Linked DNA regions of Mytilus edulis. The main gene of each other region encodes a partner of the protein of the gene in region 2 in a complex. Links are inferred from orthologs where the notes say so. Each region holds a gene or a part of one and is shown on either strand. Other genes may lie near its edges.

Region 1 (10,338 bases), on a different chromosome or scaffold from region 2:
TTATGGAAATATTCTTTATAAAGCACAAAGGTGTCAGTATTCACCTCAGAAACTTACAAAACCTTTGAATAGACTTATTAAGAAGGGATATAATTACGATACTGTTGTCAAGTCATTAAAGATTGCATATTTTGGCGATAATATTGAGTCACTGATAAGGTCTTTGCATCGGAACTAAACACATCTATTCTAAAAACAGTTGTTGGCATGACACGGGTTATGTTCTTCTCATATATGTTATGATGGTATGATACTAAACCCCTAACGGGAAGGATTGTGCCTGATGTTCATATGATGAAATCATAATCTTTTAGTCAGTTTAATTGAAGTCTGGAGCTGGCATGTCAGTTAACTGCTAGTAGTCTGTTGTTATTTATGTATTATTGTCATTTTGTTTATTTTCTTTAGTTACATCTTCTGACATCAGACTCGGACTTCTCTTGAACTGAATTTTAATGTGCGTATTGTTATGCGTTTACTTTTCTACATTGGTTAGAGGTATAGGGGGAGGGTTGAGATCTCACAAACATGTTTAACCCCGCCGCATTTTTGCGCCTGTCCCAAGTCAGGAGCCTCTGGCCTTTGTTAGTCTTGTATTATTTTAATTTTAGTTTCTTGTGTACAATTTGGAAATTAGTATGGCGTTCATTATCACTGGACTAGTATATATTTGTTTGGGGGCCAGCTGAGGGACGCCTCCTGGTGCAGGAATTTCTCGTTACATTGAAGACCTGTTGGTGACCCTCTGCTGTTGTTTTTTGTTTTTTATTTGGTCGGGTTGTTGTCTCTTTGACACATTCCCCATTTCCATTCTCAATTTTAAGATAAACTAATGTGATTTCAGGAAAGACTGCACACAAATAATTCTATCAAAATTGCCACTTGCAACTGATAATTCAGAATATGTTGCTGGGTTGCTGTTTTGTTGCCATACACTAAACATCTCCTTCCATTCAAACTACGTTATGTATTGTACCCATATAACTTTTCTATTAAAAATAAACAAGTTCACAATAACTTTACTTTGTTCTTAATGATGCATAGTGATTAATTCATGCAAATATTTAACCAACTTCCAAATACTATATCAAAGTGGCCACAACAGCAGTTACTGCAATGGAAAAACTCATGATCATATGATCACAAAAAATGTCTGTTTTATAATAAAAAGTAGAAAATATAGACTTACCAGCAATGTTACCTAACATTTCTTCCATATAAGTATACTTATACCAGAACTGATTTGCTCTGGGTAATATCGTCAGTGCTCTATCCCAGATGTTTCTAGCATGGTTTATCTGACGATTTCTGAAAAATAGATATAATCTTTAAAGTTTCTCAACATCTACATGTACAAAGAAAAGATAACATGTATGAAGTTATCATATAACTATGTGCTTATTGCAGAGACATTTCTTTAGATATTTGTTATTTAGTGCAAAATTTTTTTTTGGGATAGATTGAGACAATATACATACATTGTACGTATAGTGTCTTGAAATATGAAATTTATTTGTATGAGGCTTAGAAACGGGGGAAATGCGAGGTTGTACCTGTTTCGTGCCGAATACAAATAAATTTCATATTTCAAGACACTGTACGTATATTGTCTTTATACTGAAATCGATAAAAAAATTTCAAAAAGGTAAAAAAAATATGTTACAAATATTGTTAAAAAAAAGTTTTTGGAATTTCCCTCATGGGGTACCATTTTGGGGTATTTCCCTTTGAGCGTAATCCAGGCGGTAAGACATTGACATTTTAAGGAATTAGAAAGAGAAAATGAACTTAATTAATAACATTTTATAAACATGGTATATAAATTACCAATTTGAAGACATAACAAGTTTAAATTCATAAAAGTTTGACCAATGTTACTACACGTTATTATGGTTGTGACTTGTTGATGAAACAGTGGTAGTTCCAGTAAGTAGGTGGGGCTTATAGGTTAGTTGAGGTCATTGACGTAAAAAGCAAACGTTTATACGTATAGCTTTATCTGTATAGTAAAATAGCTGATTGCAGTATAAAGAAAAATAATTCATTGATAATTAAATTTCATTTTTTTTATAACAGTATATATGTATTTCGGGAACTTACAATTAACCTTAAAACTATTTTATAGGGCCATTGCAATTAATCAGCTGTTCTAATATGTTTTTTGGGTTAAAAACAAGGTATTTATTTGTAATTCATATGTAAATAATACCTCATTTCCATTTCAGCATATTTTAGCCATATTGTTATGTTCCTATGGTCAACATCTAATGCTCTTTCCCAAACTGATCTGGCTCTGAAAAATTAAGTAAACAAAATTATTTTCCACATAGCAAAACTGCATTATTATAATGGTAGACTGCATTGGAGACCCATTGGTTGCTTTTGTCTGTTTTCTGCTATTTGGTCAGATTGTTGTCTTTTTTAAACTTGTTATTGTTTCCAGTGTCAATTTTATGAAATTTTATTTCCTATTGAATATATTTTAAAAATCATTTCAGATATCTTACATTCAATCAACATAGTATCACATTAACATGATGGTCAAAGGCTCCTATTCTATAAACCACATCCAGAACTTCAGCTAAGAAAGGAAAATTTACTCACACTGCTGAGAACCCTTAAGGGTATTGAAAGGTGAGTTGTCTCAGATAAAACATACTTAAAAGATGACTAGCAACTCTATTTTAATGGAAACAGTAACTATTTAAACAATAATAGCTGTCAACAAGTAATTTTTTATAATGTGAAATGGATATTTTATAAACAATACAAATGAATAGCTGAAAACACAGTTGGGAGAACACATTAAACATGTTTTGTTATTGTTGTTTTTTGTGCCCATACAAGTTGTTTCCCGAAAAGGTAAGTTTTTCAGTAGCAAGCAAAAGTGACTATAGACCTCAAAATTTTAGCTTCAATCCTGCTTACTAACTTACTTATAATGTGAACTTAAGAGAAAGCAGCAGGACCAATTTTATAGTCTTTAGTTTGATTTTGGCACAGATTCCACCAATATGTCATTTGTATGTGTACCTTACTATGCAACCATAAAGTTATTTTATTAGTTAAGATTAATTACCTTTGAACTTCTTGTTGTGAATCTTCCCACTGTGCATATTTAATCCAATTTATCATGACTGTTCTATTCTTCCTTATGTTATCCTCAGATGCCTATCATAAAAAATAATATAAGCAAGCTAAAAAAGCATACAAAGAATGTATATACATGTAATTAAAAGTCATTCAAAATAAAGATTTTATCCCTTTTTTTCAGTGAGTCATAACCCTCCTCCCTTAAAACAAACATTAATGAATTCACAGTACATGTATCAGAAATTTTCAAAAAGCATCCTGACATAGTCAACATTTTCTAAACAGCATCTTGTTTATATAGGGTAAAACTAATTTATAATTATAATTCTAAAAGAAATCTATTAGAAGGTAGAAATTTGAAATATAGGATTGGGCTCAAAAGACAAATATGCATGAAATTGCTAGAATCTCATAGTCCTTAAAGCAATCATATATAGATTTGTACTCACTTTTCTTTTCCTCATTTTATAAGCTGCTAATTCATCTGGATCTGATATCTTCTGTTTTGGAGGCTTTAATATAAAAGTTTGCTTATATCAGTATTGTTATCATGTTAATGTGACCTTTCTCAATATATTGAAAATGACTAACTAATTAAATCAAATCAAATTGATACTTGTTAAAATTCAAAAGGAGTTAACAAAAAATACCAGCTATAGCTAGAGCCATATACAAACGTAGACACGATCAAGTTATACTTTATCATTCAAGAGCATCTTTTAAATCTATTAGGTACTGAAACCAATATTGCAAAGTTTACAAAATCTCAAATCAGGTGATTTAAACAAAGGATATATTTTTTTCAACATCTGATTTAAATAAAAAGCTGTTGGTAAAATTTTAATGAAATTGAAAACTTTTAGGAACCCCTATGATTTTTTTGAATAACATAGAGTAACATACTGGAGGTACAAGCTCCAATTCCCTCTCTTTGGCCTCTCTGAGTAACTGTTCTGCAGTAATCTGGACTGGTGCTGGCATCTTGTTCTTAACCTTCAAACAAAGAGAATGAAAGTCAATATACAGTAGTTTAAAAAAAAAATTGAACTACTAATGAACATGATGAACTCAAAATCGTTAACTTTCAATTTTCAGACTTTTTTCATTTTTCCACATTTTCCCAGAAATCTCTTTTTTTCTTCTCGTTTTTTTTGTGATAACTTGTAAAATTGGAAGGAGTATCATATTGTTTCCATCTAATTTGGTGTTTGTTTGATAAGTGTTTGATATGAAAAATAAAATAATGTTACCTGATGAGTGTTTCTTTGTTTACATTGAAAATGATGTCACAACTTAAATCCCTTACAACAGGACCAACGTTGGAAAAGTTTCCATATTTCCGTTTCTGTTTTAAGAGTTTGAAAGCAAAATATGCTGGACTATTAAAAAACAAAGTATTCAGACTATGTCGTCCCCTTTTATTAAACAGGTTCTAAATTTAAAATATGAATGACTTTGTCCCCTTTCACAGGTAACATCTGTCTATAATAAGGGGACGAATTCCCCTATAACAGTAGAAAAAATAAATAAAAAAAATATATATAATTTTAATGAACTCAAAAGTGTTGACTTTTTTTCCAGATTCATTTGTCATGAGACTTCGAGTATTCCTAACAACAAAATCAACATCTGAAACGTTACGTAAAATTAAAAAAATTGATACAGACTTCGTTCCCTTTCACAGGTAATGCCTGCCTCATATTATTATATGGGGACGAAGTCCCCAATTACGGTAGAAAAATCAATAAAAAAAAAAAAAAAAATCGGGAATATTTCCAGAATTTTTCATTCTACTAATCATGCTAATGACAGTGTTGGACACAGCCAGTCGCCTGGTCGCCAATGGACCAGCACCTTGATTGGGCGATTAGAAATTGTCAAGATGAATAGTAACTGGCCCAAAAATAAATCATTGGGCGAGTGTATATCATTCTCAAAATCGTAGTTTACTCCTATAATAAACCACCTCAACTTCGGAACACCCATTTTCGGAAATCCTCTGTTCACATCGTTAAAACGTGCAAGTGCATCAAAATATCAATATAGCATTTACAAACGCATCGTGATAATGTGCTTGTTAATAGTGGGTCAAAAATAATTTTACTGACAATGATGGTCGCTAAACTATTGGTGTTTTATATAGGCTAGCGACAGTCATTGACAGTAAAACCTCATCTGACCCACTTAACCAAACAAGGGAAATGGGAATTATGAAAGGAAACCGGCAAACACGGAAACATCCAAGAAGCTGTCAAAATGTTTTTCATACGAATGTGGATAGTTAAACCCCCCAAGGACAGAAACAAGTGCATGTGGCAGTGACATAAGAAAATAATTCGCTTATAAAATATATGTAAAATGTCTTTTTATGTTGTTTTGCATTGACACTTTGGAGACCTCTGTTGAAATGACTGCATGACGGAATAGAATATCTATAGCAGAAATTCCCCGTGCTATTTTTAGATTATTTCGCATAAACTTGTTTAATTTTAAACGCAGCAGCAATATTTCCCCAGTGATAACACGAAATCACTATGCAACCGAAACGGCATTGGAACTTCGCCTCTCTCCTCTCTCTCTTGGAATGAGAAGTCACTTCTTCCTCTCCAAAATCCTAAATTAGGCACTGAACAGTGATGCTGAATTTTAGTGACAATGAAGACTACGGGAATGATTTTTTTAGGGTTATGTATCAGGAAGGTTTAATTGAGGAATTGAGAACATCTACCGTTTTTATATTGCTTTTTTGTCATTTTTTAAGGCTCAACGGGTAAAAAAAAATCGAGTAAAATAATTGGGCTACCAATATGCATTTTGGGCCTGTGAAGTTATTTTTACACTCGCCCAAAAAAAAAAATCCGGTCAGCCTTTGGCTGGCCTGACTGTCCTACACTGTAATGAACTCAATATCGTTAAATTTTTTTCAGATATACTTCCTTTTCTGGTCTGCATCTGCGCACAAATGTTTTCCAGTCGGTCTTGTTTGCATGAGACTGAATAAAATGTATATTTATCAACATATCAACAAATATAGGAAGGAATTCAACATCCAATCACTTTTAATAATTGTTGTCAGATATGAAAAAACGTTACCTGATAACAGCGTTTCTTTGTTTACATTATTATATGACGTCATAACTTAAATAACGTCACAACTAAATCCTAAACAACAGAACCAATATCGGAAACCTTACGGTATTTCCGTTTCTTTTATCAACATGATTGAATTTTAAAAATATAATAATACAGACTTCTTCTCCATTTACAGGTAATGCCTGTCTCATATTAAAAACTTAAGACAGGAGGTCCCATTTGAATTCTTGACAGTCAGAGTTTGTTTTCATACAGTTAGAGTTGTCTTTTTGCAGACAGACCAATTTTACTCCGGTCGAGTTTTCTCGCACCCATTCGGTTCTTTACCCTTCTAGATTTCCTCAAAATCATTGAAAATGTAAACTGGTTAATGCATAAAAATTGAAATGCCAAGTTGGGTCATAAATATAGGATAAACATTTTTAAAGTTTGAGAACGTCACCTTTGCCACTTTAGGCATTTTGCGTTTGCCATCTTCGTCAACTTCAAGCATCTTGTTAAATTAACATAAACAGCGCCTTTTAAATATAAAACTAACTACAAAGCAAGTGTGGACGTTCAAATATCGAAATTTTGTTTTTCCGGAAACGGAAATAGAAATGTTCGAAACTTATGACAAATATTCAGAAGAAATAAATACACTGCAGTCCCTCTTTTACTTTAAAAAATGATTGTAAATTACATTATATGATAATATATTATATGTTATTTTGTTGAAGAAATCATATTAGATATTTGTTGATATACGAAACTTTTAACGTATCGTTGCTAAGTAGCAGCTTTGCAATGGCGGTAAAGCTTTGAGATATCCAAAAAAGTGAGAATATATATTGATTATCCACACTAACTGTATGAGAAATAGGCATTTGAGTAATTCTTAGTTAAAAAATAAGACTTTAAATTGAACTAGTCCTTATATCACTTACTAATCAGGCACATTTTATGCATGTCACGCTTAAGCAAATGATAGGTTGGACATGAAATTTGGAATTATATAGCTGTTTTCTCATATGACTGCCCATGAATTTCCCTGTCAACCTCGTTTAACTCAATAAACTTCTTCAACTTGATTGAACAATAAAGTATTTTCACAAATTTTACCGATTTTGTAAGGAAACTTGACGTTTTAGTTCTTGGCAGGTTTCAGGGGATGTTGTCAACAAACAGAATTAACAGATTTTTTCCTTTACGAGTTGCAGGTTTTTTGAATAGGGGTTCTGTGTAGTCATTGATACAAGAGTTCTGTGACGAGACTTGTATTTTAATTGATTAATGACACTTTCTTTACCTTTTTGCGATTAAAAGTTCTTTTCAATTTAATTGCATATTTTTAGCTGGTACAATACGCCTTATCGCTAATCCCGGCTGACCTGGCCGCTTGAACTTTTGACGCATACAACAATCACTTTTCCACTGTGGTGTCAGATATTTTGTTTTATGACGTCAAGATTTTACGGGAACCTGTGTGATTTTCAGTAATGGCTGACAAATAGCGATAAGTTGTATCGATTCCAGTTCTGTTCGCTCTAAAGTACTATCGCGCCAATTCACATTAGCACCCTTGTTATTGATTTTATGATTAATATATTTGTAATCAAGTTTTGGTACGGTAATTATTATTTGTTGGATACCAATTTTCATTGATCATGTTGGTAAGGGAGAACCACAAAATAAAATAAAATATCATCAAACATGCCAGTTTTCCTTTATCCACAAACATTGGTTCCCATTAAATTTAATGAATCCTCAGTAAGTGTATTATTTTACATACCTGTCAACTGTCACTATTTGCGGGGGATTTCCCCCATGAAGGCTCCCAAATTGAAATTTTTCAAGAGCAATTATGTCCACAATTTTAACAAAACAATTAATTTTAAAATGAATTGAGGCTTATAAAAGTATGAAGAAGTCAAAAAACAACATTACACTGTATTTGAAGGCCCCCTTGAAGGTTTTTTAGAAGTATGGCAGCCATCTTGCACGCAAAACCCCCATGGTCATTTTGAAAACTTGGCAGGTATGTATTAATACTACAATAAATAATAATTTAAAACTTTATAAAAATGGACTACTGATCAAACACATATTACAGCATTTTTTTTCTTTCTTTCTGATTTTGCAAAAAGGGTTGTTGGCATTTATGCTACAGTCATCACAGTATTAATTTATACATTTTTGATTTAATTTGTTTCTAGAATTTGCATAAATTGGAAAACATGGCAACAATTACACCTGTGGATGGTCCCCCAGAGGTTGTAAATGCTAGAAGAACAGAATCGCTAGATGCACCACACATTATCAAGCTCGTGAACAGTTCAACTGACCAATTGTTTGGAAGAGTTAATGTTGTCAACTTAATGTAAGTCATAACAATCAGTTTGAAATAAGTCTAGAGATTGTTATGCATATAGTCAACAGTACCAAACATTGTATTTTACATATATGACATTATTAATTTCAAATACAAGAAAACCTGATTTAACATCCAAAATTGAAAAAATACACAACAAAATTGACCCTTTTTAATTATTGCCACAGCATGAAATATTTTTATATCTTACATGTATCTGACTGGTCATGGAGGTTCTATTGCATGGGAAAAAAACCACAGGATGTCTGTTATCATGTATTTGTTTTTGTTCAAAGACAAAAAGTCAGAAATATTACTGAAAGATATAAAAAGTCAGAAATATTTACCTAATGCTACATATACCATGTTACAATGTATTAAAAATATAACAGTACAAATATAGTATACAGAAAACCAAAATCTGGATTAAATTTTTTGAGTATTCTGTAAACAAAAAAAATATTTAATTGCATTTTGTGTATTTTGATTCTAAACTTTTCCAATTTATTGATTTTATCCTTGTTCATTAATTCACAGAGAGAAAGCTGTGTTAGCGGTCACTCTATGTAACGACAAAGAAGAAATCCTTGGCCATGCTGCATTCTTTGATTATCCCAACATTGAAGGTGTTGATCCATCAACATGGGAGGAGTGGTTCCACAAGATGTTTGATACTCCAAAAACATCAGCTCTAAATTCCTTGTACATGCATTATTTTGTTGCAAAGAAAGAATATGCCAGTGGTTGTGCAAGGGAGATAATCCGTACTGCATTTAATGCCGTTCCTGACTTACATTATTTATTCCTGAATGTACCAATGAAAGCTTATCCTGGTATGTTATTTAATAAAATACTGTGTCACAATGTCAGGGTTTACAAATTTTCATGGAGTACTTATTTTCATGCATTTACTAGATAGAAGATGTGAGACACTTATCAAAAATAAATTCTGTATGCTTGTATGCAGAATTGATTCAAACTTTAAAAACAAGTATCCACCAAAATACAATTTTTTTGCCCCATTTATGGGCATTATGTTTTCTGGTCTGTGCGTTTGTCTGTTCCTTCGTCAGTTCATTCTTCCATCTGTCCTGCTTCAGATTAAAGTTTTTGGTCGAGGTAGTTTTTTGGTGAAGTTGAAGTTCAATCCACTTGAAACTTAGTACACATGTTCCATATGATATGATCTTTCAAATTTTAATGTCAAATTGGAGATTTTTTCCCATTTTCACAGTCCACTGAACATAAAAAAAATGATAGTGTGGATGCGGCATTCATGTACTGGGGACGCATTCTTGTTCTTTAATCATTGGAACTGATATGTAGCCTCTTGATGTCCATGGAAATAATACTTGATGTGAATTTTGATATTTTTTATCACTTAATGGTGCATCTAAATATTGCATTCTTCTTGAATTTATCTTTCAGCTACAAATTGATTATTTGTCTAAAAAGGTTTAAAAAAAAAATTGTATAAATATTTCATCTTGCCCAAGTTTGATTTTGATAGCTATCGGATTCTGTTTGAGGGACTTTATCATGAAAACAGTGAATTACAATTAAAGAACATGTACATGTTCTTTAATCTCTCTTTTAATTCAATTTAAGAGTCATTGATTGAATTCAACATAGGTAACAATAAATTTCAGGATAGTTATTCAATACTCTTTCAATAGTGAATCTACAATTAATTTGGTGTAATATCATGTTTTCACCTCTATTCTATTGCAGATGCTTCACTTGACGGTGTATTCCAGCAGTTACCTAAAAGAGAGGGTGTTAGCAGTACACAAGGAGCACTG
Region 2 (10,338 bases):
ATTCAATTTTTGTTAAAATCAAACTAAGTTTAATTTTGGACCCTTTGGACCTTAATGTAGACCAATTTGAAAACAGGACCAAAAATTAAGAATCTGCATACACAGTTAGATTCGGCATACCAAAGAACCCCAATTATTCAATTTTTGATGAAATCAAACAAAGTTTAATTTGGACCCTTTGGGCCCTTTATTCCTAAACTGTTGGGACCAAAACTCCCAAAATCAATACCAACCTTCCTTTTATGGTCATAAACCTTGTATTTAAATTTCATAGATTTCTATTTACTTAAACTAAAGTTATTGTGCGAAAACCAAGAATAATGCTTATTTGAGCCCTTTTTTTGCCCCTTATTCCTAAACTGTTGGAACCAAAACTCCCAAAATCAATCCCAACCTTTCTTTTGTGGTCATAAACCTTGTGTCAAAATTTCATAGATTTCTATTAACTTAAACTAAAGTTATAGTGTGAAAACCAAGAAAATGCTTATTTGGGCCCTTTTTGGCCCCTTTTTCCTAAAATGTTGGGACCAAAACTCCCAAAATCAATCCCAACCTTCCTTTTGTGGTCATAAACCTTATGTTAAAATTTCATAGATTTCTATTCACTTTTACTAAAGTTAGAGTGCGAAAACTAAAAGTATTCGGACGACGACGACGACGACGACGATGACGCCAACGTGATAGCAATATACGACAAATTTTTTTTCAAATTTTGCGGTCGTATAAAAATCTTAATACATGTTTAGATTCTGGACAGCATATTAAAGAACCCCAAGAATTCAATTTTTGTTAAAATCAAACTAAGTTTAATTTTGGACCCTTTGGACCTTAATGTAGACCAATTTGAAAACGGGACCAAAAATTAAGAATCTACATACACAGTTAGATTCGGCATATCAAAGAGCCCCAATTATTCAATTTTTGATGAAATCAAACAAAGTTTAATTTTGGACCCTTTCGGCCCCTAATTCCTAAACTGTTGGGACCAAAACTGCCAAAATCAATCCCAATCTTCCATTTATGGTCATAAACCTTGTGTTTAAATTTCATAGATTTCTATTTACTTATACAAAAGTTATGGTGCGAAAACCAAGAAAAATGCTTATTTGGGCCCCTTTTTGGCCCCTAATTCCTAAACCATTGGGACCAAAACTCCCAAAATCAATCCCAACCTTCCTTTTGTGTTCATAAACCTTGTGTTTTAATTTCATAGATTTCTATTTATACTTAAGTTATTGTGCGAAAACCAAGAAAAATGCTTATTTGGGCCCTTTTTTGGCCCTTAATTCCTAAACTGTTGGGACCAAAACTCCCAAAATCAATCCCAACCTTTGTTCTGTGGTCATAAACCTTGTGTTTAAATTTCATAGATTTCTATTCACTTTAATTAAAGTTTTAGTGCGAAAAACCAATGTGTCTTCGGACGACGACGACGACAACCCCAACGTCATACCAATATACAACCGCAAAAATTTTGCGGTCATATAAAAATTAAAGCTCTTTAAAATACCTCTACTTCCGGACCATACACCTCCTCTGCTGTAGGATAATATTTCTTATCCTCATGTAAGACAACTTGCATCTCAGCTGCGTCATCAGCGTCATCAGCATCCATGTCATCATCGTCATCCTAAAATAAAAAGACAGTCAAAATTTAATGGTCCAATGTATGGAAGTTTTACAAGTGTACATTTGTATGCAGGAAAATGTTGTGCTTAGGTTTTAGGGAGACTGCTTTTTCAATATTATTACATGGTGATATGATAATACTACGAATAACACTGTTTGTGGATAAGAGTGAAACAATAAACTTACTGGTATAAATTGTTAATGCTTGTGTCATTTTGATTGTTATGCAAAAAATGGATTGACAAATTTTCATGATTATTAATTAAGGAAAATTCAATATGAATATTTTAAAACTACTTTTTTGGTACAGTTTGTATATTAAACCTCCAACACATTTATGTCAAGTTGTGCTCTTTTTTCTTTGACAATACATGACTTAAAGTTAAAAACATTTCCAAATGAAAAGAGATTTCTGGTTGACGAACTGCAACTTATCACAATATAGACTAAATTGTTATTAAAACTAAATAAATGTGAATTTAACCAGGACACAATACATCAACTCAGGTTTAAATGTAATGGCAAACACTAAATTCACTCTGGTGGTTTGTGAAGTATAAACAAATGTCATACCTGTTGCTGTTTAGGGGAGCAAAGTTTGTTTTTTTAAATTATTGAATACAAAATGTACTTTTCCCTTGTGCAAATGTTGTGAAGAAATTTTTAAACACCAATATTTTCCTGTTGTTTACATTTTAAATGAACTTACTTCCCCTGCATATTCAGCCATGGCATCCTCTCTGTTCTGATCTTCATCTGCATCCTCATCTTCCTCATCACTATCTAATTCAGGACCTACATAATTACCAAACTCATCATACAGTTCCTGATCCATCGTAAATCAGGACAAAAATCTGTAAAATGCAGAAAAAAACCAACATTTGAAAGTGTTTTTATATCAAAACATATTTAATTCAGTAATATAAAGTAGCTTTCAGTATGTTACGTAACTGCCAGTATTTTTAGATATATTTTTTAGTCTTTATGTTAATAAGATTTTTATTCTGCTTCATGCTGATCTAGGCAAGCCATTTTCTATGGGATTTTACAGAATGCTGTTATATTGTGTTGTTATACCACCATGACCACTGTCCTAGGAAACCAAAATACAAATGTAGTTGAGAACTCATAAACATATGTGCCAGTCCAATGCCTGGAGCCTGTTAAATATATGATATCCTTGGTTGCTGTCTGTCATTTTTATTTCAAGATTTAAAAGGGGACAAAGTTCCCTATAACAGTACAAAAATCAATCCAAAAAAAATCAAAAAAATAATTATCAGGGAACTCAAAATCGTTAACTCATTTTTCGTCACTTTTTTTAATTCCCGCATCTGCACAGAAATCCACAATGTACTTCCTTTTTCCATTTGTTTTCCGGTCTCGTTTGCATGAAACTTTGAGTAAAATATATATTTATCAGTCTAGTATAAAATAGGAAGGAATGCAATACCAATTTCATTTTTAATAATTCTTTGATATGAAAAAACGTTACCTGATCATATAGCCTTTCTTTGTTTACATTGCATATGACATCCTAAGTTAAAGAACGTCACAACTAAAATCCCTAACAACAGAACCAAAATCAGAAACGTTACAGTATTTCTGTTTTGAAATTAAAATATGTTTGAATTAAAAAAAAATTTAATTCATACAGACAGACAGTCCCCTTTCACAGGTAATGATTATGCCTGCCTCATATTATGATAAATGATTCTAAGATGCATTTTTGTGTAGTTAAAAAGAAGTTCTTATAAAATAGGAGCACTGTATACTGTTGAAGACCATGTAGACCTGGAGATATGTGGGCATCTAACTGGATTAGTTAGGAAAGATCTCCTTAAGCTCAATAGGTTAGAGCAATTCTTTGAAATCCCTGACATACTGTTGGTACCATCCATAGATTTTCACAATATTGGCATTGCGAGCATCTACTAGTGTGCACAACTGTATGTAAGTGTCTGGCAGTTTGATATGGTTATTATGTTTGACAGGTCATTGGATGACTGATACATGTCTGACTGACATGCAGGGAACTGATCAGAGGGTTTCAGAGTGACTGCTGAGTTGTACAGTAACGGACCTGTGAGGTCAAATGGATGATGTGCAGCCAAAAAAAGAAAAGAGGGAAGGGTGTTGTAGACCTGGAGTTATAACGGCGTCTAACTCAGTGTTCTCCCCAGAAATTTTGGATAGCATCACATTTTGCGTAAAAAAAAATAACTGTATTTTTTTTTAATGCAGTGTTCTAGGATTTTTTTGGCACCTTGACTTACCACGGGTAAGATCAATAAAAAAATTACTTACCCACATCTAAAAGTTAAATCCGCCAACCAATGCAGACAGCGCCGTCCGCTGCGGCGAGCTAAAGCTCGTCGCCCTTATGGCCGGGGGTCTGGGGGCCGCTCAAAAAACTTTTATGACATGCTTTAAATTATATGTTGTGAAGTTTGTCTGAACAAAGCTGGATTCGGATACGATTGAATTTTATACAAAATTTAAAAAAAACGATTTCTTACTAAATTTGACAAATATGTTATAGTTATTACTATGTCATTTATTAAGAGCTATAATAAATGCAACTGTAAGTTTATTTTCCTCCGATGACAAGAAAAAAAAATCGTTTATGTCCCGATTTAAGCACCAGTTATCAATCCGGATTTTCCGATTTTACCGACACCGTGACCGACTTTTAGAATGATAGGAGAAGAATGTGGTCTCTTTTGCGCTTGATTACACCTAGTAAACGAGTGCTTGAATAAAAGCGCCGATAGACATCGACAAAATCTTCGATCTTTTATCAAAGTTTTTTCTCGTGATTTAATAAAAATAAAAAGCAGATATGGGAAAATTGAAGAGGACCTGGAAATTTCAAGAGTTTTTCGGCTTCCCCGAACTTGAAAATTGACTTACCACCGGGTGACAAAGGCTAAAAAATGACTTACCCGTTGTCCTAATCCACTTACCCCGGGTAACGGGTAATGGGAATCCTAGAACACTGTAATGTCATTTGTCGCGTCGCGTTGATGCTCTATTTCCTTTATATGTTTTAGTTTATATTGTTCAATTCATAACTAAGAATTCAATTAAACTATAACAACAAAAACAGTTGTTTCAGTTTATGTTTTCTTTATTCATTTATAGTTACAGAATTATTTTTTTCCTCTTGTGCCAAATAAAAATAAATATGTGCTTTCAGTTACCCAACACATAAGTCAAATGAATGAATAGTTCATTATAGTGCAACCTGTATATATACAAAACTAAATATCTATTACACAAAATGAACTATTTTTTTATATTATATTAAGTAAAGATAAAGTAGCAAAAGTAGTAAAAAAAAATATCAATTTAAAAACCTTTTTTTATCATGTTTATGAAATTCATTGTTCCATGGCACTCAATGAATTAGTCCCTGTTGTTTCTTATCTTTACATCAAAATGATATGTATTTTTAACAAAGTTATCTAACAAATAGTCTATTAATGCGTAGTTTTCTCTATTGGTATATTTTTTCTGTCTACTGTCCGTCTGTTGTCATTATTGTGAAAATGCGGATTTTTTCATATCTGGTCCGGTTCCGATCTGTAGTATACACAAAAATGTGCTATGGCGGCCGTAGAAAAATTTACGAAAATGAGTCCGAGAATAAACATTGTTTGACAAGAGATTGTGAATGAATAAGACGCTTTTAATGCATTAAATGCATTAAACATAAACTAAAGCCAATTATGATAACTTTTTAAAGAAGTATAAAACTTATTTTAGCTCAAAACCAAAATTCTCGCTCTTGTATTACAGGAAGAGAAAGAAAGTATATTTTGGAGAGTTGCAAATATAAACGACCTTTTAAAAAAAATTCGTTTTAATCTTTGAAATTTTGTAATACAAAACATAGATTTCGAATTGTTTTTGTGATTGCATTTTTCCATGTCGAAGTTGGTGATGGCAGACACGTGGTATAAGTCATGTCACGAGTGTCAGCTTGGGATATTGGCATCCAAACATTTATCACCCTGAGGGCAATTAACACCTGGCTATTTAATCCCTTAATTGCCTTTAGTGTCCGATTTAAAGGGATTACAATTAAAGGTGATGTAATTTTTATGATAATAATCGATAATAGATGAAAGTTCAAAATTGAGGACAAATAAAATAGCATCTTCAAAATAATTATAGCGTCGCGGGAATTATTATAGCATCACGGTGCAAAAATATAGCGTCACGGTACCGCGACGCTAAAACGGCCTGGGGAGAACACTGTAACTGGTTAAGTTCATAGACTTTTTTAAAGCTGCCTTAGGAATAAGGTTTTTGAATCCAGTTGGTTCAATATTATACTTTCTGTCTAATAGTAATAAGCTTCCAATCTTAGGGTTCGAAAAGAGTAACGAAAGTATCATTAGGACATGACAGCTACGGTTCCTCAACTACTTTGACAGGTAACTCAGAGTGAGTGAGGGAAAATAATACCTATGACTGTATGATACTGTAACAAGATCTTTGAGTGGAAAGAAATATTGCATACAGATTTCTCTTAATGTTGGACAGAAGGTTAAATCGTGCGCAAGATGTTCATCCTTCCAGTGGCACAGAGGACATGTTACATTTATTTTGTATTCACTATGTTAAAATTTGTGCTTAATATGAATAATTTTTTTCACAACAGTAGTGATTTTTTTTAGTACAAATGATAACAAAGCAAAAGTAGGGACCCAATCTGATTACGGTGGTCACAGAAAGGCACATTAACCGGCACTCTGTTAAATAATTGAGTTGCGTAATGGTATACCTGATCAGTGTAAGATAAAAGTACTGGAATCAATAGATAAAACAATATTTCAAAAATACATGTGGGACGCCGACACCGGAAGTGTACAAATAACGTTTGGCCTTCGGATTTCTCTAGACTTCAGCTTGTATTAAAACGAAACTGTCCGAGAGTGTTTTTTTCTAAATTCTTTATCAATTACGGACGAAGCAATCAGCTTTGAATACGGAAATGTCACAATTTATGAAAGGAATAATCACAGGCACATTCACAACACTTGCAGCAATTGGCTCTTATCGAATTTTATTTGAAAATGATAACCAAGAAAGTAATGAATTTAAAAAACAAAGATAAAGAATTATTTGAGTTTTTTGCAGTGGTATAAAAATATTAGGGTAAAAGTTTCTATAAAATTTTTGTTGAACACATGAGTCTACACTTACAGTTATACTGTCTTCTATACATGAGGGTAGTAATTCCCTTTATCGTTAGGCATCAAATGGTCATTTTCAGTTGCTGCAAGGATTTGTATAGTCTTACTATACAAATCCTTGGTTGCTGTGAGCGTTAAAATTAAATTGGTAAAAATTTTACAGTGATTCATCAAAATATCTTTATCTTCCTCAATCTTTACAGTGATTCGTCAAAATATCCTTATCTTCCTCAATCTTTATTCATCAGAGGTCCCAAATAATTATCGTCACTGTCTTTTTTGTGAATAGTATAATGTGATTCATCAATATCAGTCGATTTTTTTATCATCTAAAAGAAAGTATACAGTTAATTAACATCATGCACAAAAAATTACCATTAACGTTATTTGGCAACAATTTTACCATTATTTGTCATTAAAGAACCCCCATTACCACCCTCCTATATCTAATAATAATCATGATAATACTGGCATACAAAGTTATTAAAGGTTGTTTTTTTTTTATATGAAAGCTATTGTCACTACCATATAAATCTTCAATTCTCAGCTTTTTATACGACCGCAAATTTTGAAAAAATTTTCGTCGTATATTGCTATCACGTTGGCGTCGGCGTCGTCGTCGTCGTCGTCGTCGTCGGCGTCGTCGTCGTCGTCGTCGTCGTCGTCGTCGTCGTCCGGCGTCCGGCGTCCGAATACTTTTAGTTTTCGCACTCTAACTTTAGTAAAAGTGAATGGAAATCTATGAAATTTTAACACAAGGTTTATGACCACAAAAGGAAGGTTGGTATTGATTTTGGGAGTTTTGGTCCCAACATTTTAGGAATTAGGGGCCAAAAAGGGCCCAAATAAGCATTTTCTTGGTTTTCGCACTATAACTTTAGTTTAAGTTAATAGAAATCTATGAAATTTTGACACAAGGTTTATGACCACAAAAGAACGGTTGGGATTGATTTTGGGAGTTTTGGTCTCAACAGTTTAGGAATTAGGGGCCAAAAAAGGGCCCAAATAAGCATTATTCTTGGTTTTCGCACAATAACATTAGTTTAAGTAAATAGAAATCAATGAAATTTAAACACAATGTTAATGACTACAAAAGGAAGGTTGGTCTTGATTTTGGGAGTTTAGGTCCCAACAGTTTAGGAATTAGGGGCCAAAAAGGGACCCAAATAAGCATTTTTCTTGGTTTTCGCACCATAACGTTAGTATAAGTAAATAGAAATCTATGAAATTTAAACACAAGGTTTATGACCATAAAAGGAAGGTTGGGTTTGATTTTGGGAGTTTTGGTCCCAACAGAATAAGGGGCCCAAAGGGTCCAAAATTAAACTTTGTTTGATTTCATCAAAATTGAATAATTGGGGTTCTTTGATATGCCGAATCTAACTGTCATGACTGTGTATGTAGATTCTTAACTTTTGGTCTGTTTTCAAATTGGTCTACATTAAGGTCCAAAGGGTCCAAAATTAAACTTAGTTTGATTTTGACAAAAAATCAATCAGTTAGGTTCTTTGATATGCTGAATCTAAAAATGTACTTAGATTCTTGATTATTGGCCCAGTTTTCAAGTTGGTCCAAATCGGGGTCCAAAATTAAACTTTGTTTGATTCATCAAAAATTGAATAAATGGGGTTCTTTGATATACCAAATCTAACTGTGTATGTAGATTCTTCATTTTTGGTACTGTTTTCAAATTGGTCTACACTAAAGTCCAAAGGGTCCAAAATTAAACTTAGTCTGATTTTAACAAAAATTGAAATCTTGGGGTTCTTTGATATGCTGAATCCAAAAATGTACTTAGATTTTTTATTATGGGCCCAGTTTTCAAGTTGGTCCAAATCAGGATCTAAAATTATTATATTAAGTATTGTGCAATAGCAAGTCTTTTCAATTGCACAGTATTGCGCAATGGCAAGAAATATCTAATTGCACAATATTGTGAAATAGCAAATTTTTTTTTAATTAGAGTTATCTTTCTTTGTCCAGAATAGTAAGCAAGAAATATCTAATTGCAAAATATTGTGCAATAGCAAGATTTTTTTTTAATTGGAGTTATCTTTCTTTGTCCAGAATCAACTTAAATCTTTGTTATATACAATATACAATGTATATTCACTTTTTACTACCAACTGATGAATTAAAATAATCTTTACCATTCAGTGATAACAAGCAGTTTTTTTACATCTTATTTCCTTATCTTATCTAAAATGTTTTTAGATTATGTATGTTGGACATTTGCCAGACATGACTATGATGTCATTTTCTATTTTTATTTGCCCATTACTTTATGTAAATAACTTCATTGGAAATTTGCCAATATAAAATGTTGCTGATGAAGTTTTTTTTATTGTTTTATACAATAAACAATGTATATTCACTTTTACTACCAACCAATCTTTACCATTCAGTGATAATAAGCACTTTATTTTACATTTTAATATTTTATGATGTATTTAAAAGAGTAGTTATTGTTGCAAACTCCATTAGAAATTTGAATTGATATCAGTTTTGGAAAAAAGGAAACGGGGATGTGAAAAAGGGGGGGGGGTTAAATTTTTCTCATTTCAGATTTCATAAATAAAAAGAAAATTTCTTCAAACATTTTTTTGAGAGGATTAATATTCAACAGCATAGTGAATTGCTAAAAGGCAAAAACAAACTTTTAAGTTCATTAGACCACATTCATTCTGTGTCAGAAACCAATGCTGTTCCAACTATTTAATTTTAGATTTAAAAAGTTTGAAGAAGAAATCTTTAATTGTAAAATTTGTAAAATCTTGACATTTGTTTTGTGTAAAAAAACCCCATGTAATGTCAAAAATTTGATCACAATCCAAATTCAGAGCTGTATCACGCTAGAATGTTTTGTCCATACTTGCCCCAACTGTTCAGGGTTCGACCTCTGCGGTCGTATAAAGCTGCGCCCTGCGGAGCACCTGGTTTGTAAATAATATGTAAATAAGTTTGTGCAAATATAATTGTCTATATTTAAGCCTTACTGATAGTAATGTTTCAGTGAGAAAAGAAGAAGATGTGGTATTATTGTTAATGAGATAGGTACAACTATCCACCAAGAAAACAAAATGACAACAAATTTGATGAGTGTTTTCTTGAACTTACAAATGTATGTCCATCAGATTTATATGGAATCATCAGTCTACACCTATAGCTATACCACTCTTTTGAAGAAAACTTACAGATCTGATGAGTCAAATCTTTTACACAACTAATTTTGATAGTTTATATGTTTTGCTGTTAAACCATTATCCCAAGCTTTTGAGAAAGTTTAGTGCTCACAAACTTGTCCTGAGTGCAGAGCCTGTACTAGTTCATTGGTTGTTGTTGGTTTGTCTGTCTTTTTATTTGTTTGTTTTTTGTTTGTTATTTATTATAAAAAATAATATTTTCAATTGGTTTTCTCTTTTGAATTGTACAACATTTTGTCATGCATAGACATTTTATAACTTTACTATATGAAGGCTCTACAGTCCCCTTTTTCGTTTACATC
Region 3 (10,338 bases), on a different chromosome or scaffold from region 2:
ATTTATCTATTTCATACCTAATTATCTATCAACTGGAAGTGAACAACTTCAACAAATGAAGACATTTCATAGGTGATATACATAAGAAAAGACATAGAGTCTGTTGCAGACATATTCAAACCTATGATGGAGGTTAGAAAATTAACTCTTGAAAAGAAATTTCCTATCTTTTTCATTACATGGTATTTAAGTTGATTTGATTTTTGGTATTTAACGCCACTTTTAAGCACTGAATTTAGGCTATTTGGCCTTCAGTTCTTATTGGTGGAGGAAGCCGGATTGCCGGATAAAACCAATGACCTTTGTTAAGAAAACTGACAATCCTAGTCAATTAAGATTGGAGTCATGTGCACCCGCACGAGCAATATTCCAACTCACAACCTCAGTGTTGACTTGCTAGTGATAACAGTAGTAACTACTTTACATTCAGCCCCAAGGCCCCTACATGGTATTTAACAAAGTGAAAGTTATTCAATTAAAATCTGAAAACATGCCACATTGTTATCTGTTGATTCTTTTATTTTCTTATACTATACAATTACTGTCTTTTGATCAGGTAAATATGCAGTTTTATTGACTTTTGAAAAACTGATATTCACTGAGGCAGAAGGCCTCAGTTAATATCAGTTTTTCAAAAGTCAATTAAACCGCATATTTACCGAAACAAAAGACAGCAATTGTTTTATTCCATATCTGAAGAGAAAACAATGTATTTAATGACAAATATTTATTCAAACCAATTGTACACCAAACAGTTTACTATAACGTTACATGTAAAAGCGTGTGATGTTTAGTGCAGTGAATAACACTTTTCTCCAGGTGAATAGGCTTTTTTATTTAAAATCCAATTCATATAGAAAAACCTACTAAAATAATACTAATACGGAATAATCTCAGTTATCAATTTTCATGGATTGAGGAAAACTTATATTTTTATGGTTTTAACAATATCTTCATACATTCCTACATGTATATAGACAATAAGTAATTTGCTGAACATATAAATCCCACAAAATCCACGTTAATTGGTATTTTAATCTAAGGAATAATAATAAATACATGGCTTACAGATTTGAAGCCTAGTCTATGAAGTCTATAAGTGTTGTCCTTTTTTCTTTATACTACTTTCACACAACTTACAATTCCATACATATCTTTATTTGCTCCCTTTAGAAGAACACAGTAAGCACCCTTCTTCAAAACTAGTGCTTCCTCATTGTCATTTTTTCCTGATCCTTTCTTTGAATCATTCAACTGGGCTGCTTGTGACCTATCAGCTCCTAAGCCAAGGCCCTTTGGTCTCAATACAGCATTCACAGGAGCTACAGCTCTATGTAAATAAATTGAAATAACAAAAATTGTTTAAATATGCATATTAAAATGTGTAAATATCTGATTTTTACTTATAAAATTGTCTTTTACAATTTTGAAATGAATATCGTGTGAGTCAAGCAATTTGCTTCTAGTTTGTTACATGTATTTAATCTGATGAAATTCTAAAAATAAAATTATTAAATATTTATAGATTATCGTTTATCATCTGAACAAGATTGATTTACTCACTTGAGCCGGTATGTATTGAGATGACCAATGATAATCTGTTTATTGCTATATAACCTATGACCTATTAATTTCATTGACACTGGCAAGTTCAACCTTAATTTCTAGTGATAATTTTTCAAACCACTCTACTGTGCTGAGAAAGGAAGTTATCAGTAACTAAGATTAAAGGAAGTTTTGTAAAATAGGGATAATTTGCATTATCAACAGATTCAGCAAGTATTCTACTGTTTCTCATACTTATTATTTTTTCCTATACCCTGTCCTTCTTGCCATCCCATTCCTCTTAACATAGCTAACCCAAACTGGTCTATAGGTATTTCTTCATAGTCATTTTCTTCAGGCTATAAATATACCAATGAAAAAAATATTATTGTGACTGGCAACACTTTTATGCTTACACATGTTTCTTTTTAAAGTAAGTCCACTAAAAATGTATGCAGTGCACATACAATTCCAAAATATATTAAGATATATACATGAGATATGTAATTGATAAATATCTAATTGACATCACTTAAATGTTTTTGACTAAAAGTATAACAATACAGCAAAATGGTAATTTAGTTCAAAAGTGTAAGGAATTTGAATAATTTGTTCATTAAAATATCCTTTGCATTAATTTCATATAAATATATGCAATCTAAAATTATCTTGTAGAAAAAACAATCCTGAAATTATTTCTATTAGATACAAAAAAGCAACAATATGATATACATGTATGTAAATTACAATTATGAAATATGTCAAAATAAACTTTGAACAAAATATCAGTGTGTGCCAAATCAAAAGAGTCACACAGATAATTGTTAGATTGTGTTTATTCCAAAATTAATATAACTGATATAAGCATTAAGTTTCCAATAATGCATAGCTGAAAAATATTCTACATCTTTATTTGAAAGTATAATGTACACGGCTATAAAATATTCCTAATTTCATTTTTTTTTATAGTACCTCATCAGGTCGTAAGCCTACATCTAACTTATCATCTGTTTCAAAACCTTCAGGAATTTTGTTTTGCATCAAAAGAGGAATATTTAATCCCATATCAGTCTGCCCCTTTCCTTGTTCAGCTTCCTGGAACTTTCTTGCGTCTGAAAAATGTCAATTAAGTATACATATACACTTTAATTTACATGCTTCGATTCATTTTGCATAAATGAATTTATACATCTCATTAACTAACAAATCACCTTACAAATATGTCATATTTGTTTATGTTTAATTAATACCAACAATCTATCAATTTCTATTGTCTTTTTTGTGAACGTTTATTGGTGCAAAACTATGTGTTGTCCTTGTATATATATAGACTATTGCAGTTTTCTGAGTTGTTCTTTATCTGGTCACTTTTTTATTGGTGTTGATTGCTGAGGACAGTTTATAGTTGGTTTACTATTTTTTGGTTTGATTGATGTTGATTTACTTGTTATCAGTTTTGCTCTGTTGTCTTTCTGAGAATATTTGGTTAGTTGTGCAGGTACACAAGTTGTGTTTGATGTTTTCATTTTAACACTTTTGCTGTTGTTGAATTTTCTTATGTAATATGGACACTTATTCATGTGTGAATCCAAAATCAGGTGCTTTGCACTAATGTCAGGTCTTTTAGCAGTATAGTATCCTTATTCCCATCATTTCTATAAACAGGAGGTGATTAAGAGCTTGACAGTCCATATAGGCATGTACCAACTGTTGAAGGCTCTGTTACCTTCTCTCTCATGTTTAACACCAACACTTTCTTTGTGTGCCTGCCGCAATTCAGGAGACAGCTAAAATTTGGTGGATGTAGTTGGTTTCTGTCTGTAGTCTTGTTTTCTTGTAAAAATTTCTTGTAATAAATCTGTTCATTTGGTTTTTTTTCATTTAATTTGTTTCATGTTTTGACATATCATTCAAGGGCATTTTATTGTTTATAGCTAACCAAACGGTATAAGTTTTTCTCCTTATTGAGGAATGTATAGTACAGATGTCCTGTTGAGCAATCATGCCAAATCTATAGATTTTTTTTATAGTTGTAAATTTAGAAATGTTTGCAAACCACATTCTACAAAATTTAGTTTTACCTTCTACCAGTTCCTGAACAGCACTGTCTTCAATTTGATTTCCAGATGCATTTACCCTCCACTTGTTTTCTTTGATTAAGGGTATAACAAACTCTTTGGCTTTGGGTTTTGTGCTGCAAAAAATAAACCATAAATTAATATGGAAATGGAGAATATTTTATCCCTCCACTTTCATTTGGCTTTACAAATAACAAGTGTACTGTGTTGTGATGTATGACTTTAAGACAAAATACATGAAATAGAAAAACATATAACAGTTTTTATTTAATATTAATCTGCCAAAAAATATCCTTTCTGTAACCAGACAAGACTGTTTAAACATATTGATAATAAAATAATAATCAACTGGTTAATGAACATTAAGTTTTCAGCAAATAAAAGAATATCAATTTTATTTTTTAATTTAATTTCACCATCCAGAAAAGAAATTGATGTCATAACAACATGATAAATGTTGACAAAAATTCTTCAATTAGTTTATTTTTAAAAGATGATAGCCTAATATAACTTGAGTATGGAGCAATAAAATATGACACCTACACATCTACTATCATCATAAAGCTTTAAAGAATACATCGACAAGCTGCAAGAGACTACAAATCCAAAGATGATGGTTGCATCTCAAACATCCTTACTAAACTGGATTTACAGGTCATAAAGACAAGCACACAAGCCAGAAGTGAATATTTCTGTACAGGCTAGTACAGGGGCTAGTTCCTGTTATAGAACCAGATGCATATTTAAAAAAGGCACATCCAATAACACCAATTACTTAATACTGCCAATAAATTTGGCAATTGTTAGACAATTGTTGAAAAACAAGTCAGGAACAACACAACATGCACAAAGTGTTTTGAAATTGAACTAACTTTACCCTAATTCATTGTTTTCTTAAAACAGTGAACAAGTCAGTGGAACCAACTTGAAGACACATTAGACTAGAGTGTAGGGAGTCTCATTCGGGGGTTCTGATCCCGGATCCCGCTTACTATTTTGTTTGATTTCCGTATCCTGCTTACGCTATTTACGTAAGCAATTCTCAATTTTTTGTTATTTCCCGTACCCAGCTAGACACTAAGACTTCATTTCCCGTTTTCACAGCACAAGAATTTGACATTCACATGTCACGCTTACAAAAAATGGGCAATCCCGTGTCGCGCTTAGACCCCAATGAGACCCACAGTGTACATGTATTATGTATAGCACACATCATCATTGAGAACTTCCAAAACTGCTTTCACACCATTAACAAATTGACAGTGCTGCCACTACCATAGTTTTAAAGACAGTATTGATATTCACAACATGTTCATACATATACAGACCCACTTCAAACAACACCTTTTCAAAAGAGGGGAGAAAGAAACATAAGGGACATTCAAACTCACAGATCAAAAATAAACTGACAACGCCATGGCTACAAAAGAAAAAGACAAACAATAGTTCACAACACAAAACATAGAAAAATAAAGACTAAGCCGATAAGCAACACGAACGGTACCCCAACACAACTTCAAGGCTGTTCAAGCCTTTTGTTACCTTTTAGCAAAGTTCTCGTCAACCTCGGTTACAAATTCTGCCTCTTCATTCTTTTCGACTTCTCCTTCGCTTATTTTGGATATTCCCAAAGATTTGTTCTTTTTTATTTTTGAAAATCCAAAAGACACTGTTTTCTGTTCCATTTTTTTGTGATTTTGTGAACTTGCGACGATTTCTTTTCAATATTTTATAAACAGGAAGTATACGTTTTACGTACGTTCAATACAGGAGAGTCCCAGTAGATTGCAATTCAGTCATTCAAAACAATACGTCTGCTGGTTGTATTTTTGCAATAAAGATTATTACTGCATAGGGAAGATTTCTGATACTCGAGCTATCCAATCAATATCTGATTTATGTATTGCACATGTCATTAGTTAGGATTATGTACCCATCTGTTCGATCATTCTATGCTAAACATATGGAAATTTTGTACTGAGAAAATCCACAGCCTTCCCCCTTGTTCTCTTACATTTGGCAATTCGGTGCTTGATAGATAGAGGATTATTGCATGCAGTGCTAGCAATGATTTCCTTATAACAAGTTTATAAATTTAGATATTGGTTAAAACAAATATAAGTATAGACCAATTCAAGTACACCTTAGGGTGCGCTCGACTTTAGTGACCCAGCACGAGTTTTTTTTTTTGGAATTAAGTAGTTCAGGACTTTTTGTAAAAAAAAATGCTAGCACATCATAGAAAAACAAGTGAGTATAAAATCTATTTTGAAAATTTTATTACAAAAATCTCTTTTATAAAGTTTGAGGATTTTCTACAAAAATCCATTTTTTTCTATTAAATGCAACAAAACAATAAATAATATTGCTTTGCACGAAGTTTCCCCTTGGTATATGTACAAAATGGTCCATCTCTATCATTCAATATTTTGACTGTTTCGATACTACTGCAATTTGAAAAATTCATAATTCACCGTGATGGCTACAGAACAGCAGAAGGAGTTCCAACCGGATTTATAAATACTTGGCGGTCACTGAGTTGACTCCAAAACGAAATTAAGACAATAAAGATGGTCTTGTATTATTTTTAATTCTAGATCATTTATATGCAAAGTCACCTTGGGCTAACTTAGGAGGAACTTGTGAATAGTTGTCTCATTGGCAATCATACCACATCTTCTTTTTATATTGAGAAAGATACTAGAAGCATGTAGAAAAGCAGCCTAGCCTGGAAAATATACATGCAAGCGGATATACAAGTAAACAAATTGGAATGTATACAAAACAGAGGCATACGATTCATTAAGAAAAACTACAGGAGTCGAGAACCGGTTCCATCTCCTACATGAGACGCCAGTTTGAAATTGAGACACTGGAGGAACGAAGACACAGTCTCCGTCTGATCCTGATATTCAAGATGGTTGAGAATCTGGTGTCGGAACTGCCAGCCGACAATTTTGTCACACCAGCAAAATCGAAAAGAATAATCAAAACCAAAATATAATAAAATTGTGAAACAGACAATATGATCGACTGTGACGGCACATAATAAACAACACAAACTAGCCCTGCCCCCCCCCCTTTTGAGACTGAGAAAATTTGGTTGCTTATATAGGGAATCACTGAGGCGTTACGAAATCGGGTCCCCTCTTAGGCAGCCAGTGGGCCCCCACTTATGAAAATTTCTGGATCCACCACTGGGGCTTAAAGTGCCAGACAACAATATGCCACAATAGTCAATAAAAACATTCTTATTTTTAGTGAAACAACCATATACTAGAACCAACTGCCAGATAAAGTTGCGCATACAGATTCTGTAGAGCAATCAGTTGAAATCGCTCACCAGGAACATCTCCATTAACAACAGCGCTCTTCTCCACCGTGTATACAAGCCGAAATAAAATTCTACATGTACCAATACAGTGTATGAAAAAGTAAAAAAATATCTCTTTTTGTAGTTGTTATGTTTAACGAATTTTGTATAACTTTTTTATGTTTCAATTTATGTTCCCTTACTTTAGAATGGGGTCTTGCATATATATAATCCACAAATCTTATAATAATTTAACCCATTCCCACCGCGAAAAAAAACCTTGACAATTGGATCTTTTTCTGTAAGATTAGTTTTTATATTTCAATGCTCATCTTTTTATTCACCTATTGTCATCGATTGTCAAATAACAATGTTGGGAATAATTCTGCACTGAATAGGGGCACCTACATTGCTTGTCATCGGATTGCCAAATTCTTGGTGATACTACACCCTCAGTTACCTACTGATGTGTCACTCTCTAAAACTAACTTAATCTCGTAATATTAAAATTATCTTCTCTTGTAAAATGATCATCACAAAATGTAGTTTCTCCTTTGTGTTTTTATTTTTATTTGTAAAATTTATTTCCGAAAAGGATACTTTTTTTGTCAGTATTGATTATAATAAAATTGAGAATGGAAATGGGAAATGTGTCAAAGAGACAACAACCCGACCATAGAAAAAAACAACAGCAGAAGGTCACTAACAGGTCTTCAATGTAGCGAGACATTCCCGCACCCGGAGGCGTCCTTCAGCTGGCCCCTAAACAAATATATACTAGTTCAGTGATAATGAACGCCATACTAATTTCCGAATTGTACACAAGAAACTAAAATTTCAAAAAATACAAGATTAACAAAGGCCAGAGGCTCCTGACTTGGGACAGGCGCAAAAATGCGGCGGGGTTAAACATGTTTATGAGATCTCAACCCTCCCCCTATACCAATGTAGCCAATGTAGAAAAGTAAATGCATAACAATACGCACATTTAAAATTCAATTCAAGAGAAGTCCGAGTCTGATGTCAGAAGATGTAACCAAAGAAAATAAACAAAATGACAATAATACATTAATAACAACAGACTACTAGCAGTCAACTGACATGCCAGCTCCAGACTTCAATTAAACTGATTGAAAGATTATGATTTCATCATATGAATATCAGGCACATTCCTTCCCGTTAGGGGTTTAGTATCATACCATCATAACATACATGAGAAGAACATAACCCGTGTCATGCCAACAACTGGTTTTTTAATAAATGTGTTTAGTTCCGATGCAAAGACCCTATAAGTGAATCAATATTAACGCCAAAATAAGCAATCTTTAGTGACCTGACAACAGTATCGTAACTATATCCCTTCTTGATAAGTCTATTTAAAGGTTTTGTTAGTTTCTGAGGTGAATACTGACATTTTTGTGCTTTATAAAGAATATTTCCATAAAAAATTGGATGTGAAATACCTGAACGTATAAGAATTCTGCATGTTGAGCTATATTTACGAATGATGTCCTTATACCGATGCATGATAAAATTTAGTAAATGTTTTGACTACTTTGTCGGAGATTATATACGTAGTATATTCATTTTGTCGTATGTCAATCTCCTTCAGGAGGAAATAAAGTTATATATGATATACACTATATATGTTTCTGGTTTCATGGTACCAACAAAATCATATTTCACATGGTGGCACTATATACCTATTGTGGTATTCTTAAGGATAAAAGATAAAATACAACATTATTATTTGTAACCTTTAATAAAATTAAAATCAATAATAAATGTATATAATATAGCTAACAAGTACAATAAAAAGATTATTTAAATCAAAGCACTGAAAGTTTTTATATCACAGATTAATCAAAGCACTATTTGTTATAAGCAGCTGCTTTACAGTCCTAAAATTTCATCACTTTTCTGGCAAATCTTCGTTTTTCTCCAAAAGTCCATGACTTTGACTTGACTCTGAAATGTCGCAAATCTTCTGAGTGGTCAGAGTGAAGCATTGGTCGATAGCTCACTGGGTCACAACGGTGAGGCTGTTCATTAAAGAATGACTTATAACCACCGTCAAGTAAATAAATTTCAGGAAAGTTCAGTGATGGATAGTTTTCTTTATTGAGATCTCTGTCTTTGCTTCTTAGGAATCTCAGCATTTTCGGACCTCTCTCAGAAGAAAACTCACAATGAAAGACGAAAATCTGTTTATCTTTAGTAGGTTGTTGAAGTAAAGTTAAAATGGTCTCGTTCAAATACATATTTTCTGCTCCTCTGATATGTCCGCCTTCAAATTCATACGGGTATCGACAGTCGATGATCTTGTAGTCACTGATTACGTCATCGTAGTCTCCGTTTAAAACATCAATAAGTGTCTGTGAAGTGATGCTTTTCAAATCAGAATGTTTTCCAGTGACAGTTGGTAAAGTATGTAATCTACTACCATCGGCAATGAAGTCGTCGTTCTCTTCAAGTTTGGTTACCACAGCCTTTATATCTGAACCAACTTTTGGACGTTTTGAACATCTTGAGTTATCATCGTCTTCATGTTGTCTCTTGGCGGATTTCGGCAAACTCGATGTAAAATGGTCTTCCATACCGAGGCCAGAATCTTCGTCATCACCTGGAAACAGATTCCTTTTGCTGTTTGGAGTCATCACAGACATTATGGCATTATCCTTTACTGGAGGAGAATCAAAACTCAGAGAAGATACAGATGCTGGAATTGTATAAAATTCATCATCTACTTGTATGTCGAATAATCTTCTTGAAAGCATATTTATGGTTGCTGATTTCTGACTGCTTAAATTTGAAAGTTTAATAGTGAAATTTGAAGTATTTCGAATTTTTATAGTACATATTTTGAATTGACAATAAGTAATAGCGGTCTCTAATTGGAAACTCATGCTCATCTCGTTACTCAACCAATTTAAGCAGCGTTCAACTTGTGGTCGAAGTTGCAAAGCTATTGTTAATTATTTGCTTGATTGCCAATCACAGACTTTATTAGATCTGAAATATTTCTTGTTGATTAAAGGATACATCGTTGATTGCCGTAACGATGCATAGTAATTAATGTACAATAATTTGAAAAGTATTCACATGATATTTTACATTTCAAGCAATCAAAATTAACAGATTTATTTACATGAAATAAAGGATTAATAAATCAAATAAAAAAAAAAATATAACATTAATTCAAAAAAGACAAAAAAAACAACAAAAAAAAACGTATTAAATTTTAAAAATAAATGAAACAGAAAGAAATTTAATTTTAAAATAAACAAAACACAAACAAATCATAAGAAAGCTAATTGAAATAATAAACAATTTTTTTTAAACTAAATGAAAATTGAAGTTATAAATGCATTAAACACAATTTTTTTTTACAGTCAACTTTAT

What was found.
Region 1: 116 kDa U5 small nuclear ribonucleoprotein component-like (region 2) and crooked neck-like protein 1 share a complex: the UniProt entries of both Homo sapiens proteins name them as parts of the minor spliceosome. The link is inferred for Mytilus edulis from reciprocal best matches to the Homo sapiens genes EFTUD2 and CRNKL1.
Region 3: 116 kDa U5 small nuclear ribonucleoprotein component-like (region 2) and G-patch domain and KOW motifs-containing protein-like share a complex: the UniProt entries of both Homo sapiens proteins name them as parts of the minor spliceosome. The link is inferred for Mytilus edulis from reciprocal best matches to the Homo sapiens genes EFTUD2 and GPKOW.

Annotation. Positions count from the first base shown.
Region 1 is NC_092346.1:35,663,081-35,673,418, forward strand, and holds the start of crooked neck-like protein 1, read right to left. Parts: upstream 6,785-10,338; 5' UTR 6,680-6,784; coding exon 6,629-6,679; intron 4,087-6,628; coding exon 3,997-4,086; intron 3,606-3,996; coding exon 3,543-3,605; intron 3,172-3,542; coding exon 3,080-3,171; intron 2,294-3,079; coding exon 2,210-2,293; intron 1,309-2,209; coding exon 1,190-1,308; intron 1-1,189. Other genes in the region: cilia- and flagella-associated protein 61-like, read left to right, coding at 8,403-8,545, 9,074-9,369, 10,268-10,338. UniProt on the Homo sapiens protein: Involved in pre-mRNA splicing process. As a component of the minor spliceosome, involved in the splicing of U12-type introns in pre-mRNAs.
Region 2 is NC_092345.1:82,429,616-82,439,953, forward strand, and holds the start of 116 kDa U5 small nuclear ribonucleoprotein component-like, read right to left. Parts: upstream 6,569-10,338; 5' UTR 6,422-6,568; intron 2,484-6,421; 5' UTR 2,465-2,483; coding exon 2,339-2,464; intron 1,631-2,338; coding exon 1,511-1,630; intron 1-1,510. Other genes in the region: nuclease EXOG, mitochondrial-like, read left to right, coding at 6,632-6,728. UniProt on the Homo sapiens protein: Required for pre-mRNA splicing as component of the spliceosome, including pre-catalytic, catalytic and post-catalytic spliceosomal complexes. Component of the U5 snRNP and the U4/U6-U5 tri-snRNP complex, a building block of the spliceosome.
Region 3 is NC_092344.1:15,302,854-15,313,191, forward strand, and holds the start of G-patch domain and KOW motifs-containing protein-like, read right to left. Parts: upstream 5,387-10,338; 5' UTR 5,309-5,386; coding exon 5,166-5,308; intron 3,740-5,165; coding exon 3,627-3,739; intron 2,658-3,626; coding exon 2,518-2,657; intron 1,905-2,517; coding exon 1,801-1,904; intron 1,331-1,800; coding exon 1,141-1,330; intron 1-1,140. Other genes in the region: M-phase inducer phosphatase-like, read right to left, coding at 8,838-9,713. UniProt on the Homo sapiens protein: RNA-binding protein involved in pre-mRNA splicing. As a component of the minor spliceosome, involved in the splicing of U12-type introns in pre-mRNAs.